Drosophila melanogaster: one gene and its partner. The main gene of each other region encodes a partner of the protein of the gene in region 2 in a complex. Each region holds a gene or a part of one and is shown on either strand. Other genes may lie near its edges. A codon is read from its position in the direction of its gene.

What was found. Proteins that work in one complex are often made in the same cells at the same time.
Region 1: the proteins of Diap1 (region 2) and Dronc are in contact, whole or in part, in a crystal structure (PDB 1Q4Q), measured with the Drosophila melanogaster proteins. Residues at the interface, in NP_001261916.1 of Drosophila melanogaster: Thr255, Arg260, Val261, Arg262, Gly269, Leu270, Met271, Asp272, Trp273, Asn274, Asp277, Gln282, Trp286; in NP_524017.1 of Drosophila melanogaster: Pro116 (codon at 4,001), Pro117 (codon at 4,004), Phe118 (codon at 4,007), Ile119 (codon at 4,010), Ser120 (codon at 4,013), Leu121 (codon at 4,016), Asn122 (codon at 4,019).

What each region holds. Positions count from the first base shown.
Region 1 is NT_037436.4:9,965,233-9,971,662, forward strand, and holds Dronc (death regulator Nedd2-like caspase), read left to right. Parts: upstream 1-3,246; 5' UTR 3,247-3,655; coding exon 3,656-4,102; intron 4,103-4,611; coding exon 4,612-5,517; 3' UTR 5,518-5,770; downstream 5,771-6,430. Other genes in the region: CG6685 (uncharacterized protein), read right to left, coding at 2,240-2,389, 2,455-2,548, 2,602-2,809, 2,873-3,062; CG6674 (uncharacterized protein), read right to left, coding at 5,978-6,370. UniProt on the Drosophila melanogaster protein: Involved in the activation cascade of caspases responsible for apoptosis execution. Effector of steroid-mediated apoptosis during insect metamorphosis. Overexpression promotes programmed cell death.
Region 2 is NT_037436.4:16,046,307-16,055,089, forward strand, and holds the start of Diap1 (Death-associated inhibitor of apoptosis 1), read right to left. Parts: upstream 4,729-8,783; 5' UTR 4,152-4,728; intron 3,998-4,151; exon of another isoform or gene 3,278-3,997; intron 3,204-3,277; exon of another isoform or gene 2,929-3,203; intron 541-2,928; exon of another isoform or gene 179-540; intron 1-178. Other genes in the region: Mbs (myosin binding subunit), read left to right, coding at 7,000-7,254. UniProt on the Drosophila melanogaster protein: Anti-apoptotic protein which functions as a caspase regulator, using its E3 ubiquitin-protein ligase activity to smother caspase activity. Binds, ubiquitinates and inactivates initiator caspase Dronc, and effector caspases Drice and Dcp-1.

The sequences.
Region 1 (6,430 bases), 6.1 Mb from region 2:
GAACCATTTAAAAACCAATGAAACACTATGCAGAATGCAATCAATTCCTAGAAATCCTAACTATTCTCGAATATATATTTATTGTGAATGTTTACGCTAGGCAAAAAATAAAAAAAAAATACAAAAATATGTCAAATATATACCTCTATGTGTCATTGAACTCGCCTATATCATCATAGTTTATCATATATATATAGTTTAAACCATATCACACTGCAAAAGATACAGAAGCAAACATATATTGCCTATTTATTTTGCAAACATCGATGATAAATATATGCAATCAACTAAGAGAGAATCGTGTACCTACATACAACGTACCTAGCACCATAGAAACCAAACTTATCACAGAGCTTTACAGCAATCGCAATCAAAAAAAAAAAAAAAACAAACAAAAAAGTAATCAATATGAATAACCACGAATACGAAAGGAACGTTTATTTTTTGGCCAAGAACCTCGAGTGATCCCGCCTGCGCTTTATAGTGATGAATCCCACATAAATCTATGTATATTCTATACCCATCATTCAATTCATTCAATATATACACACTATGATCAAACGTAATAGATAGCTCCAAAAAAACACCCAAAACTACTACTAAGGTGAATATACACGAATCCAATCCAAGGTCCACCGATCCGAAATAGAACCAGAGCCAGTAATTACTGAAGCCGCTGTACCCGAAGGCAATCTCAAACTCAATCTCAGTCTCACATTTATAGTCAATTTGTATAGTTGGGCAGCTATATGCGTAAAAGTGTGGTAATTGGTAATGGTAAACTCTTGAAACTTTATACATATAGTGAAGACTCACCAGTGTCATAGATGTATTCATTACGTAAACGGCAATTAAAGCGATTATTATCATTATTGTTGTGCTATGTTTAGCGGAGTAGAAGTGAAACCCGAAAAAAAATATGAATTTATATATGTATACAAAACGCAGCAGCAGCAGCAGGACGAACTCTATCTAGGACACATTAAAAACCACTCTACTTTATATACACATACTCGAATGATATGAATAAAAGTATGAATTACACGAACGGGAACGGGACAATCAAAATTCAAGCGACACTAAAACTAATTCTATATCAACTATCAACTAACAAACAATTGCAATTTTAAGTTACGTTGTTGTCGTTCGTTGTGTTTGTTCGATTCGTTGGATCTGCGTTTGGTTAATGCCAGCTAATTTGATCCTGAAACTCCAGCATATCCTTGCCATGCACCTGAAATTGCTTTGCATTTTGTTCGGTCCGAATTTGTTGTTTATTTATTTCACCTTAGACAAGCATATCGATATGGTTTACTAGCGTTTAATCGTACGTATATATAATTAGATTTACTTAATTTTAATTAATGTTTACGCGACAAGACAGAAACCTAAACACAAGAAACAAAAAAAAAAATTTAAAAATGAAAAAATTAAAAACAAAATCTAAATCAAAGAAAAAGGGGAAAACCAAAAGCTCAAACTGGACTGAACATTTAAGAGTTATATTATGTACATTATTGAATTGCATTTGATTGTGTGAAGATCGTTTTAGTGCTAGTAACTGCGCCTAAAACAAAAGGGTATTATATTTGTATTCGAATTTGTATGTAATTCTGATCGTATGTACGTTATGTTATCGTAAGTGTACCATCCTAGATCCTCTAATGAATTGAATTGAAATGAAGCCAACTCTGTCTCTTGTGATTCTATTGTGATGCTATGGGAGTCAAGCAGCACTCAACTGTTTTTATGCCTCTTAAAGTTTAAAACAAAGCTAATCGTAGCAAAACCTAAAACTAAACTACCTATCTCTACACTAGTCTATGCAATGCTAATTGGCAGCCCCAACAATTGAAAACAATCATGCACAATAAATGTTATGCAATTGAGAGAATCCAAAGGCCAAAGACCCACAACTTTTTCTTACACTACTCGAAGTAATTGTGTACAACTAAAGGAATTCTAGATTTTAAATGTGCTAAAACTGTTTATAGTCAAGTACTTAATTAAGAGTGTAATTATCAAATATTAATACGTACAAAGGTTGGGGCATTTGGCATAGTAATACTAATAATGTATAAACGTGGGATCCGATGATTTGATTGATGATAATGGAGCGGTGCAAATGCGTGTGACAATGTACGTATGTAACAAACAATTGAATTTAAATGTTTAATAAATGTGTGGAAATGAATAAATGCTCTGTGTGCTAAATTCCTCAATTACTCAATAACAGCCTCTACGTTAGCTTCTCGTCCAGGAATAGTGGATCCAAACTGCACTTTTGCCGCTGTTCCATGTAATCCAAAAACTGGTGGTCAAATAAACGCTGCCCCATGCTGCGTGCCACATCGTCGGATTCGTCGGTGTTTGCCTTCTCTATGAGCAGCTGTTGGCATTAGGATTTCCTTTTTTTTTAACTATTTTGGAAAGTTGATGCAGCCTTCTGCTCACCTCAATTTCCTTGGACAAAAATTCTTTGGTCGCATCGCTCATCTTCTTTTGCGGCTGGCCCATCAAAGCGTTTTCCAGAAACTTGTAGGCCTCACTGAAAGTACCACAATGCTAAATACAAATGTAGTTTATCAAAACCATTCCTACTTCAAGTCAATGCCGTTCAGTTCCGTTGGCGATGGCTTTGTCTCATTTTGGATTATGGAGTTCACAACGACGGCTGCTTCGAATTCGCAGAGTTCAGCGAGTTGCGAACTTTTCATGAGCTCCAGCCACTGGTTAATGTTGTTTAAGCTAACGGAGTCGCAGTTTTTCACCATTTCCTCGCCCTTGCCAATCATGTCGGCCACATACTCTAGAAAAGGGATTGGGGGACAATGTACTTTTATTGCATTATGCATGTTTTAAGAAAACTCACGGAGAATGCCATTCGAATTATTTTGATTTTGCTGCTTGGCTGCTTCGAGCAGGATTTGCTGTGAGTAGCCCAGTCTGTTTAGTTGCCTTTGCAGCTTAACTTTCACCTCTCTCGGAATCCTTGCAGGCTTTTCTGCGCCTTTTTGCGCGGAGTTTTTCGGTTCCGGCGTAAATTGTTGCTCCTCCTCCATTTCTTTTGTTTATGTTTACGGTTTGTTAGGCTGACCCCATATGGTATTTGGTATTTAGTATTAAATTGAATCATTTGATGCGGCAATGAAGGAATGGTGGAATAAGTGGAACATGGAGACGGTTCATGTCATGGATTTATCCCGGACGCGTTCTCTGGTTAAAATGGCGCACCCACAAGCAGCCACACCAATCCCAAAGTTTCATTTATTAGTTTAGTGGCGAGTTTGGCGGCGCGAAACGCTCGTTGGTCCTTTTGTTTCGAAAGAAATCCTATTCGAAGATCCCCGATCCTTGCTAGGATCATCTAGTGCAATATATAGACTAGTTAATTTACTTTTGGAAAAATAAGGACACCAGCAGGGCCGCCGATTTGTGCCCCTTTCTTGAAAGTCGCAAAACAAAAACAACGACGACAACAACAAAGCGGAGACAAAGAATCGACAAGTAGCGATAAACGAAATCATTCCCGGGAAAACCTTGGAGACGGGTGATTCACTGCCAATACCACTGCCAATTGGAGACTGATCACGGCAGCCATCCTTGGCGCGCCCAATAAGCGGAGTCACCGGAACGCGTGGAAGCCATATCCGGAATGCAGCCGCCGGAGCTCGAGATTGGAATGCCGAAGAGGCATCGCGAGCATATACGCAAGAATCTGAATATACTGGTTGAATGGACGAACTACGAGCGTCTGGCCATGGAGTGCGTGCAACAGGGCATCCTAACCGTTCAGATGCTAAGAAATACGCAGGATCTCAATGGCAAGCCATTCAACATGGACGAGAAGGATGTGCGTGTGGAGCAGCATCGTAGGCTCCTATTGAAGATCACCCAGCGTGGTCCCACCGCCTATAACCTGCTGATCAATGCACTGCGCAATATCAATTGTCTGGATGCGGCCGTTCTATTGGAATCCGTCGATGAGTCCGATTCAAGGCCACCCTTTATCTCGCTAAACGAACGGAGAACCAGCCGGAAGTCGGCCGATATTGTGGACACACCCTCACCCGAAGCCTCCGAAGGACCCTGCGTTAGCAAGGTAATGAAAATAAAATCATACGAAAGCTTTGATGGTGAAATTGCAGCTCAGGTCATTGACCCTGATTTCTACAAAAAACCGGTTTATGGCACAATTTATTTGCATTTTTTTTTTTAGGTTTGTTAATTGAGTTATTCCTATTGGAATGAGATTAGAAAAGGTATCTTTAAGAATTGTAAATGGACTCAATGATGAATACTACTTTGGTACATGTGCACAGTATTATTTGCTTCTCTTTCAGAAGTTAGTTCGTGTATGAGATTCTTGTTTTCCATTTTTTTTGGAAGCATGAATCACATCCATTCTACTTACCTATCCCAATTATTCTTTTAGTAGGATTTGTTTTTAACCAGAATCTTATCGCAATATTGCTGGCAGCTGTGTTTATATAGCACGAATGTTGATTACTTCTTTGTCTGCCACATTAACCGTGCAATGAAAATATAATATATATATTGAAAATCTTATCTTTATTGTAATTTGTTCTTTCTTTCTCTCTCCTACCAAAGCTCCGGAATGAGCCGCTGGGAGCACTCACCCCTTATGTGGGTGTCGTTGACGGTCCCGAGGTAAAAAAATCGAAAAAGATACATGGTGGGGATAGTGCCATATTGGGCACATATAAGATGCAATCACGTTTCAACCGAGGCGTTTTGCTAATGGTTAACATAATGGACTATCCGGATCAAAACCGTCGACGGATCGGAGCCGAAAAGGACAGCAAGTCGTTGATACACTTGTTTCAAGAACTGAATTTTACGATTTTCCCCTATGGGAACGTGAATCAGGATCAGTTCTTTAAACTTCTGACAATGGTGACCTCCTCGTCGTATGTGCAGAATACCGAGTGTTTCGTAATGGTACTGATGACACACGGCAACAGTGTGGAGGGAAAAGAGAAGGTGGAGTTTTGCGATGGATCTGTGGTCGATATGCAGAAGATCAAGGACCATTTCCAGACGGCCAAATGTCCTTATTTGGTGAACAAGCCGAAGGTGCTTATGTTTCCCTTTTGCCGCGGCGATGAATATGATTTGGGCCATCCAAAGAATCAAGGCAATCTCATGGAGCCAGTGTATACGGCGCAAGAGGAGAAGTGGCCTGACACCCAGACGGAGGGCATACCCAGCCCGAGCACCAATGTGCCAAGTCTTGCCGACACTCTGGTCTGCTATGCTAATACGCCGGGCTATGTTACCCACCGCGATCTCGACACGGGCAGCTGGTACATCCAGAAGTTTTGCCAAGTGATGGCCGATCATGCCCACGACACAGACCTTGAGGATATCCTAAAGAAGACGAGCGAAGCCGTGGGTAATAAGCGCACCAAGAAGGGTTCCATGCAGACAGGTGCCTATGATAATCTTGGCTTTAATAAGAAACTCTACTTCAATCCCGGGTTTTTCAACGAATAGTTGCCGCCACTGGACATTTTATCATTCCGGATGCATTTTTAACCGCATTTATGTTCTTATCGTCGCATTTAGTATGTCTTTTAGATTATGTGTTCTGTGCTCGCGTGCTATAAAATGTTTATATTGTAACAAATACTCATTCAAGTATTCTTCTAATACGTATTGCATACCTCATTTAAAGGTACGAAATTATGTAATTTATGTGATAACTGCCAGAAATCTACAAATATTATAATACAGAGTTCCAGTATATACACAGCCAGATTTTTGAAATCGAACATTTAGGCAAAATGTAAAGCAATTTTCCAGTCTGATTTTTGAGTGTGTACACTTACAAAATAAACGATGATATTTCACAACAAACCGCAGTTTGTATATAATTAAAATCTATTTACATTTCTAAAATTTCATTGGGACACTAATTATTATATAATATAATCTTAGGATCATACATTTTAACCTAATCATCCTGCTCATCCTCCTCCGCCAAGTGGGACAGTTGTAGTTTTCCCGCTGCACGGCTCTGTTCCGATTTGGTTTTGCATTTCTTTGGCTTATGCGGCTTTTGGCCAATTACATACTCAGGCATCACCAGCTTGGAACCTCTTAACTGCGGCTTATCCAGCTCCACATCATCCACCTCCTGCTGTTTGAGGCTCTTGAGCTTGCGGCTGAGTTTGCTGGTCCTCTTGAACTCGATCTTGCCATCTGTAGGTGGAGATTCGTTATCGACGCCCTCAGCCTCGCGCTGTGCATCCATTTGTCGCAGGAAGGACAAGGCGGCGGCGGAGTTGCTCTGTTCGGAAATGTCCACATCAGACAGGGAGTACTTCTTCCATTTGTGCGGGTTTACCTAGAGAGTAGGTCAAACGTTTAGGGTGGGGACAACTAATTGCAGAGGGATGGTCTGTCA
Region 2 (8,783 bases):
TTTTTTTTTACTGATATATAGTGTGTGTGTGAGTGTGCGAGTAAAGATACAAGCAAAGCAAACAAAATATATTTTAGCTGTTGCCTTTGCCTTCTGATGACACGTTTTCGTTAATTTGGGGTTATTTTTCGCTTGGGGTACACAAAATACCATACTAGATTATAAAACTGGGGCTCACCTTGACGGCTTTTCTCTTTTTCTTGAAAAACTCAAGTTTGCACTGGAAAATTTCCGTTGCGTTGAGATTTGACGATTTGTTAATCGTGTAAATAATGCGCTTTCACAATCACTATTGATTTTCCGTGAACACGAACGGAAAAACACAATAACACGTTTTCTGTTATCTCCTACGCTCTGTATTTGCTTTTGTTGTTGCTGCTGCTATATCGCCTACAATTACAAAGCCAACTATCACATTCAGTACCGTGGAATACTTTTTTTGTACTTTAAATGTATAAATTTAAATCGAGACAGCGCTCAAAGCGAGTTGTCCATTGTGTCTATACGGGCCGAGATTCGACATTCAACTGAAACGAAGCAACGAGACGAGCGCTGCCGAAGTCGATTTCGAATCCCTCGGCTTCACGCTAATTCTGTAAACATTTAAGGTTATTTTTTTCAGAACTGCCAACGAGAGAGGTAGACAGACACCCTCTCTCAGCTGCCTAGCTTTGGTGAGTGGAATGTTCAATGCAGTTGTTCATTCGGCCTTCCGCACTTTTAATTTTCTTGCTATTACTGAAACTTTATTTAGCCACTTTTAGTGAAGGCGGGGCCCATAAACGTTGTTTAGAATCAAACAGTCTGGCTTTTTATTGTGGGCAAGTTGAACAATTAATAAAAATGGACAAATGCAAGTGCATAATTTTGTTGTACTACGACTAGTATTAATACGTAAATCGTAATAGACGTACTACTGTTGCCTGTATGGCTATCCCTTTCGCACTCGCAGACACCGCAGCCAGGATCATTGATTTTTATCCTCCTGCAAGAGAGCGAAGAGCATGCGCCGCGCGCGTGTCAATGCACCGCATTTCCACCTCTCTCTCACTCTCTCTCACTCTGTCTGTCTGTCTCTCCTTCATTGTGGCGAGGAGGAAGGAGCAGCTGGAACTTTCACAAAGTCCACATATCAAAAAAGGTAGATTATTATGCCTTCGAATTCCGATCATTATTTTTTTAAACGAAAAAATGCTTTTAATGATACGGCTTGGCTGGCGGAGTGCCAGCTTTAAACAAATCGGCTATGCAAAAAGCTATGTATGGAAAAGAGCAAAACAAAAAACAAAATTAAGAGAACATCTCAAAGTGCAGGCTCTGTCCCGTACTCGGTCCCGTACTAGCCTGATTCAGGTTAAACCAAAGACACTAGAAGTGTCAATCTAATGATGATGAATTAATGATGAATCCGTCCTTATACCAAAAACTAAAGAACAAGATTTACAACTTCAATTGCAATGCCTTATTTTGAGTCAATTTCTTCTATGTCTTCTAAAATGTCAGCTTTTTGATTCGCTTTTAGGTTATAGAAAATAGGGTTCCCTGGGGCGGGGTTCTAATATATATATTTTGCACACAGTACAAGGCTGAGTAATTGCTACAGTAAATATTACGCAATTTTATGTACATAAGTTAGTATATGACATGATAAAATGGCTGATAAAAACTAATAAATGCGAAGAAACCACTAGGGATTCTTAAAGTATTTGTTGAATATATTTATATTATGAAATTTACAAACATATTTCTTGAATTGACGTTTTTGCCTCGAACAAAGTATTTGCAATGAACTATCAATAAGTAAAATATTTTTAAACGAAGTCCCAAGCTTTTCTGATTAAGCCCCTTTGAGTTATGAATATATATTTGGCAGGGGAAATGCCAACACGTTCTGATACTGTATAAACAAAGATTGCCAAGTTTGAATCATTTATGGAAAACAGCCCGGCTACAGTGCGCGACATGTGTATATGGCGTCCGCAAGCAAACGGGTTGAACTTTTCAAATTTTATAAATACACGCTGCTAAATTTACCACGAAAATGTCGCGACGCATTTGAGAAATTTGCCTATAAATGCGAAGTCTAGACGACTTTGACATGTTGCAAGTCGACACTGTTTGCAGGCGGTCTTCTGCTGTAAATTAAGCGAAAATGTGGCGTCTATACAAGCATTCTATTTGCGGATGCTGCCAGAGGCACTTCGGTTTTCATTTCATATTCAGCATCAAAAGATCACTCCGCTGACCACGCAGAGTTTGGGTCTCGAGTCGCCGGACAAGTTTTAGTTGAAAAATCCGCGGGCTTGGAGCTAAACGGCCTTGCAAGGCCTTTTAAAGTTGTTGCAACCGCCCTGTTCTTGTTGGTGCTGCTTTTAATGCACAGTTAAAATAGCCTACAGCGTTTTAACTTAATGTGTTGACAGCTGTTTAAGCTATTTCAAACAACTTGAGTCACTTTGTTGCTTTAATAATGAAACCATGCCAGCATTAACAAGTATGACTCAATAGGGATATACCTTAATTTTATCTATATATGCATGTATAATATTCATTTAAGATAAATATTAAGGAGCGTGTCAAAAGATTGCTGCAACTTTGTAATTCCTAAGTTCCTCATATTACATTTCAAAAGCTATACTCTACAGTTGATTCTGTTTATGTTATATTTTGTGGCTTTTTATTAACAGCCAACTGCAGCGGAGCTGAAAACCTGTTTGCCATTTTTGTATTCTCTTCATTCATTTGTGCGGCGATTGGCAAAAGGTGTCATAACAACGCGTTGGGCACGATTCGATTAGACTAGCCACTACCCATTGCTTATAACATGTGCTGCCTGTCGGTCCCTTTTCTAGCCACCATGTATTTACCTGCTCCATTCAGGGCCAAAAAAAAAGGAAGGAAAGAAAGCACCTGGATCGACAATTGTGGACGTGTGCCGGCAGCTGCAGCAACTAGGTAATAACCGATCAGAGGATCGCCGAAAGCGGAGCCAGCAACATCTGCTCCTGGGGCAAGGGTCCTCATCCTTATTGTGCACGCTTCCAGTGAAAGGATCGCGCGGCACATGACGACGCCAGCTGCCGTCGATCCTTTGTCAGGATATTTTCGGTGTGTGGATGTGTGGAACAATCCAATAATGAGCCTACCGAACTGAGGTGTCCCGCGGATCTTTTGCTGTCAAATGATGGAGCCTCAAAAAGGATGTATGTATATTGTATATTTAAGTTTATGGTGTAGTGGATAAATACTCAAAAATAATTTTATTCATCATTTTCAGGGGAACACCAAGTGAACTCATCAGTGAACTACTATTTGAAGTAAGGAATTTGAGAGGTTATGACATTACTCAAGTGACCTAATTTCCTGTGAAACCATCTAGTCACCGTTACTAGGTATAGATTAGACTTGCCAGTTGACAGTTGTTTTAAACAAATATCTCACGAATGAATGACGCAAAACAGAATGCAGCGAGGATATATGAATTTCGTTCTAGTAAAATAAGTGAGGTAAGCAACTGATGCTATAGGCAAAACCCCATCAATCATAGGAACCTACGCAGCGCTGTAAATGGAAATGACATTGAGCGGTAATTAGAAATTGGAAAATTCTAGCTAGTAAACGCGTTCCACGAATGGGTGGGTTTTGCAGCATGGGGGTGGTGTTGATTTCATCATGAATGAAATGCGATGCGAATGAGCTCAGCATCGGCGGAGATAAAAGGTACAATCTTAGTTAATATCCAGGCAGAAACATGTGCGACAGACAGATTTCATTCCAACCCATCCCTCAAAATGACAAGCTAGCACAAGAGCGAATAAGATAAGACGGGATCCTGACATATGCCTAAGTATGTATGTACATGTGTATCTCGGCCTCCAGATTGTTTTAGAAATCACTAGAAAACGCCAGAGAGCGGAGAGCGAGATAGGGAGAAAGGGGGAGAGAGAGAGAGTGAGAGAGGGAGGGATAATGGTCGTGTCCCTGTTTATGTGGGGGTAAGGACATGAATGAAAAAAGGCGTGTTGGAGAGAGAAAGGTAGACAGGCGGCGCCTATTTGTATGCAGCATAATTCAAGTATAGTAAAGTAAACCCATTTTGTTTTTTCTATAAACCGCGGGAAGATTGAACACACATATTTATATTTACTTACCAGAGACATTTTAAACAGTGATAACGTATCAGTTTATCATTGGTTTTTTTAATGCCTTTTTTCGGCCACCAAATCGTTAATTGTTTTCGTTCACCTCTTATCGCACCACGATAAGATTATAAAATCACTTAAAATAAGTTTTGCTGTATAAAATGTTTACACAACTGTGCTCACGTCGACTGGTGGGTTTGAATGCCGTGCAACGACTACGCCAAAGCTATGTGCCTATATAGCTCACTTTCCTATAGGTATTTGTTTTGTCGGTTCTGCGTTCTCGTTTTGTTTTGTTTTGCTTGGCTTTCTAGTGAGCGAGAGGGTGCTGGCGGGGGAAAGAGAGAGAACTAGCGGGGCGGAACGGTCGAAATAGTTTTTTGCCGCCCAAGCGATGCGCAATTATTTTTGGGGGTGGGATGTCCGCACTTTCGTTGGCTATTCCAGCTGTGCGTCTCTAAACTGGAATGTTTTTTTTAAAACTTTTTTAAGTTTAATTAATAACTATTTTGCAAGCTATTTATATTTCTGAATATATTAAAATTTCAAAAACAAACAACTGTCAGCACACGAAGTCGTAGTTTTAAATAAATGCTAAATGGGGTCACACTGTTCAAGGTGCTTGGCTCGCTGATGTATCGATACGCGCTAAAAAGATATCGATAAGATGCATCAGTGGGATCAAGTCTACGCTAGGCCGTCAGCAGCGTTTTCAACCAACATTTATCGAATAAAACGGTTTGGAAATCGAAACGGTAGTTCAGGTATAACACATATACAAAATTGAGCCACTTATAGAACAAGGGTCTGTTACCCGGTCCAGTAACACCGCGAAAACTGAGCTTATTTCGATTCATCAGAATTAGAGCCCCTAACATTTTGTCTTGATTTGACAAAAAAATTAGTGGAACAAACAGAAGAACCTTCGGCATACCGAGAACTCCCAGTAAAAACAAAATACTTTGATCAGTTTGGAAATTTATTTTAACATCAATTGTTTGTTGTTTCGGTTTAATAAACTTTCGAGAATTCTTAGTATCAAACCAGGAATAAATACAAACAATTGAGGGAAGCCACAATTAGAGAAGTTGACCAAAAACAGCATTTTTTGAGTTTGAAAGTAAATTGATTCTGTTGTATCCTCTTTTTCCTTTTTGTGTTTTATATAGATAAAATTAGAAACGGTATTAATATATTTAAAAAGTTGTTTGAAAATTGCATTGTATGTGTTTTTGAGGCACATCAAATATATCGATAGATATGGCCGCATCTATTTTTGAACTAAATGTAAAGAATTGGATGCAAAAAGAACGCATTTCTCCCGAATGGAGTAATAAGACGAACAATTACGAATACCCTAAAATAATATTGATAGTTTAATTAACATCGTTAAAAATATCGGTCCATAACAGCACTGCTAAGTGTTAACATAACTAAGACGCCATCTACAATTTTGTGAGCGGCGTTAGTGTGACCAGGCGAAAAGAGTGCTAAATATACCGCGCATTGCCCTCCGATTCACATCGTCAAAAAATTTTGGTCTGTGAACTTCGTGCGGATGAAATTCGATTTGAACGCCACCGAAAATATGCAAAATAAAGTGAAATACCAGTGCCTCGCGGACGAGGAGCGCTTCAGCGGAGAGTCCTGCAGCCATTAAAGCCCAGAGAGCACTGAAAGTTCTGGGAATTTCGCGGGAAAGGTGCGTTTTTCGCTTGGTCTTTCGGTGTGTGTGAAAAGTTTCTACTGCAATCCATTTTTCTCTACGTGCGTGTGCGGCATACGTGTGTATGTGTTGCGTCTGTGTGCGAGGCGAGTGAATGTGTGTGTGAGTGTGGAGTGGAATGTAAAATGTGGGGCGATGTAAAAATGCCTTTACATAAGTGCACTCGCATTTGCAAGGATTTTGTGCAATACCGCCATCCTGCCAAATTACATAAAATCATCGCATTTCAGTGCGTGAAAAAATACGCGGTTTCCATTTTTGTTCTATTTACTCGCGACGTCAGCGTCGCGGCTGTTGAATTTATGTCAAATTGGTAACACACACACATGCAGGCTCAGCCATTCGCGCTCTCCGTATGCAAGCCCTAACTGCATGAGTGTGTGTGAGCGGCAGAGAGAGAGAGAGAGCGCGAAAGGGAGAATGATAAACAAAGTGTAAAAAAAACAAGCGGCTGCTAAAATGCCCGCAAGTGTTTTTAATTGATATGAAAATGTGTTTGCTTAACACTATGTAGCCCAGCAGCTGGTGGCTCTAAATAAAGCATTTGCAAAATATTAATTTCTCCTATCGTATTTCTTAGTTTTTGCCCCATCCTCTTGTGTAATTTCCATTGAATGCAACAACAAAGGTGCGCGTTAAACAACAACAAATAGCATTGTTTTGCGGGAGAGCGAGTGTGAGAGAGAGAGAGCGTTCCTGATTGCGACATTGTGTGAGTGAGCGGAGAAGAAAACGCCAAGAAGTTGGCTGATAAAGCAAACGCACACGCACGCACGCACGCGCACACACACGCAAAGAAAATAGAAAAATCGTAAAATAATAATAATCAGCAAGCAGGAAAAGAAGAAGCAGCAGCAGCAGCAGTACAAACAGCAAAAGTGTAGTCGTGATCGAAAATCGAAAGTGTGAAGCATTTTCTATAAATAGTGCAAAATCAAAACCCAATTCCCATTGCAAACAAAAGCGCAATAAAGCAATTACGATAGAGCAATAGCGATACAACAGCGCTACATACAAAATCTACACACATCTGGAGCAGTCGAGCGATCTCACAGAGCGCGTGCTCTGCAGCAAGTAGCAGGATTATCTGAAGGAGCAGATCGTTCGTCTGGCCAAGAAGGATCTGCCAAGATGTCCTCGCTGGACGCACGCAACAACTCGGCGATGATGAAGCGCGCCGAGCAGCTGAAGCGCTGGGAGGAGTCGGACACAAACCGCGCCGCCCCCACCCCCCGGCACGAGCACGGCCGCAGGATCAAGTTCAGCTCCGGCTGTGTCTTCCTCGCCGCCTGCCTTTCCGGCGACAAGGACGAGGTCGTCCAGCTGCTCGACCAGGGCGCCGACATCAACACCGCCAACGTCGATGGACTCACCGCCCTGCACCAGGTAAGTCTGCCAGTAATCATCATTCTTTCACACTTAGGAATAGTCCTTATTGGGTGGTAGAAAATGTAACGTTTGAATGGTTATACTTTGCTCAACTAGTCAATTTGTAAATAAATTTAAATTAAAGAACATACAATAAAATAAAATATATTTTAAAGCTATCTTTAAAGATATAGTACACAGATAGAAAACATAAAACATTCGCTAGAAGAAAAGAAAAAGACAACAGTCTTTTAGTAGGTATTGATAATTCCCACTTAAGTAATCGTTTGCAAACAGACATTATTTTCTTGTTTGGGTAGAAGTGGCGAGTATTAGCAATTCTATCAAGGGTTGCATTTGCAGCAGGTGCAATTTCCAGTTAATTAAATGTGAATATTCACACTGCATCCCCTATCACCAGGGATTGATTTCCCACTTTAGAAGGCGGCTAGGCGTTGCGTCAGTCTGCTGCAACTGCGATCACGCGACTGGGCGAGGGGGTGGTGGGTGAATTGGGGGCGGGGTTGGGGTGGAACGGGCGCAGGGAGCTGCAGTTTCGACACTGTTGCGTTGCGTCCAACTGTGGTGCTGACGTGAATCGCACTGTGGGTCGAATTCCATGGGGTCATGGGATCAAATTATTAAAATGCTACAAGAATATCTAGCAGCAAACGAAAAGTATTACCTTATTGTTTCGTAAGGATTAACCATTTAATTTTTATGTATACTTCATTTAACTTAAGAGCGTTTAAAGTAAAACAACAAATTAAAATATAAAGAACAAATTACTAAATTGATTAATTTTACAAGATTTTCCATCGAAGAAGATAAAGAACACAGCATTATGACACATTGACGTTATTATTTAGGAATTTTTATAGGATATTCAATCAAGGTCAAGAATGATCCATCCTGTTTAGACCCACTGTGCAGCGCCGTTCGCTAGACGCTCGACCATTATTGTTGTTGGGTATTTCGTGCTCTTTCGCCGCCGCAACAATAATTCGAATTTCGAATATTAACAAATACAGCAAATACATGGCTAATGCAAGCCGACGATTTACAAGTCGAATGGCCAGAACGGCATAGCCAACAACAACAGCCACAAGCAAAAGGCAAACGGCCAAAAGCATTAAATAAGAAAAATACAAAATGTTCTATTTTTAAACACCCAAGAAAAACATACAAAACCCATACACACGAAAGCGCGTTTACATATTGAAAGCCCAAAGATTTTCGCAAAATCATTTTCAGTTTTCCTCCAATTTGCTTGACTCGATTTTGTGGCATGTCGAAGAATAGGAATTTAATGATACTTTGCCGGCACGAAAATGAAATAAAAAGCTTAAATTTTCCGTACCTATCATGGAAATTCGTTCTATTGTTATGCACATGATAATATTGTAGATTAAGACAAGGACTATTTAATTAATACAAAATAATAGGAAGAACAAATAAAGATTTGCGATTTGCGGTTTATCATTTGATAACTATTTAATGGAGAGTTTATTTAACCTTTAAAAAATAGTTAAAATAGTATCAAGAAT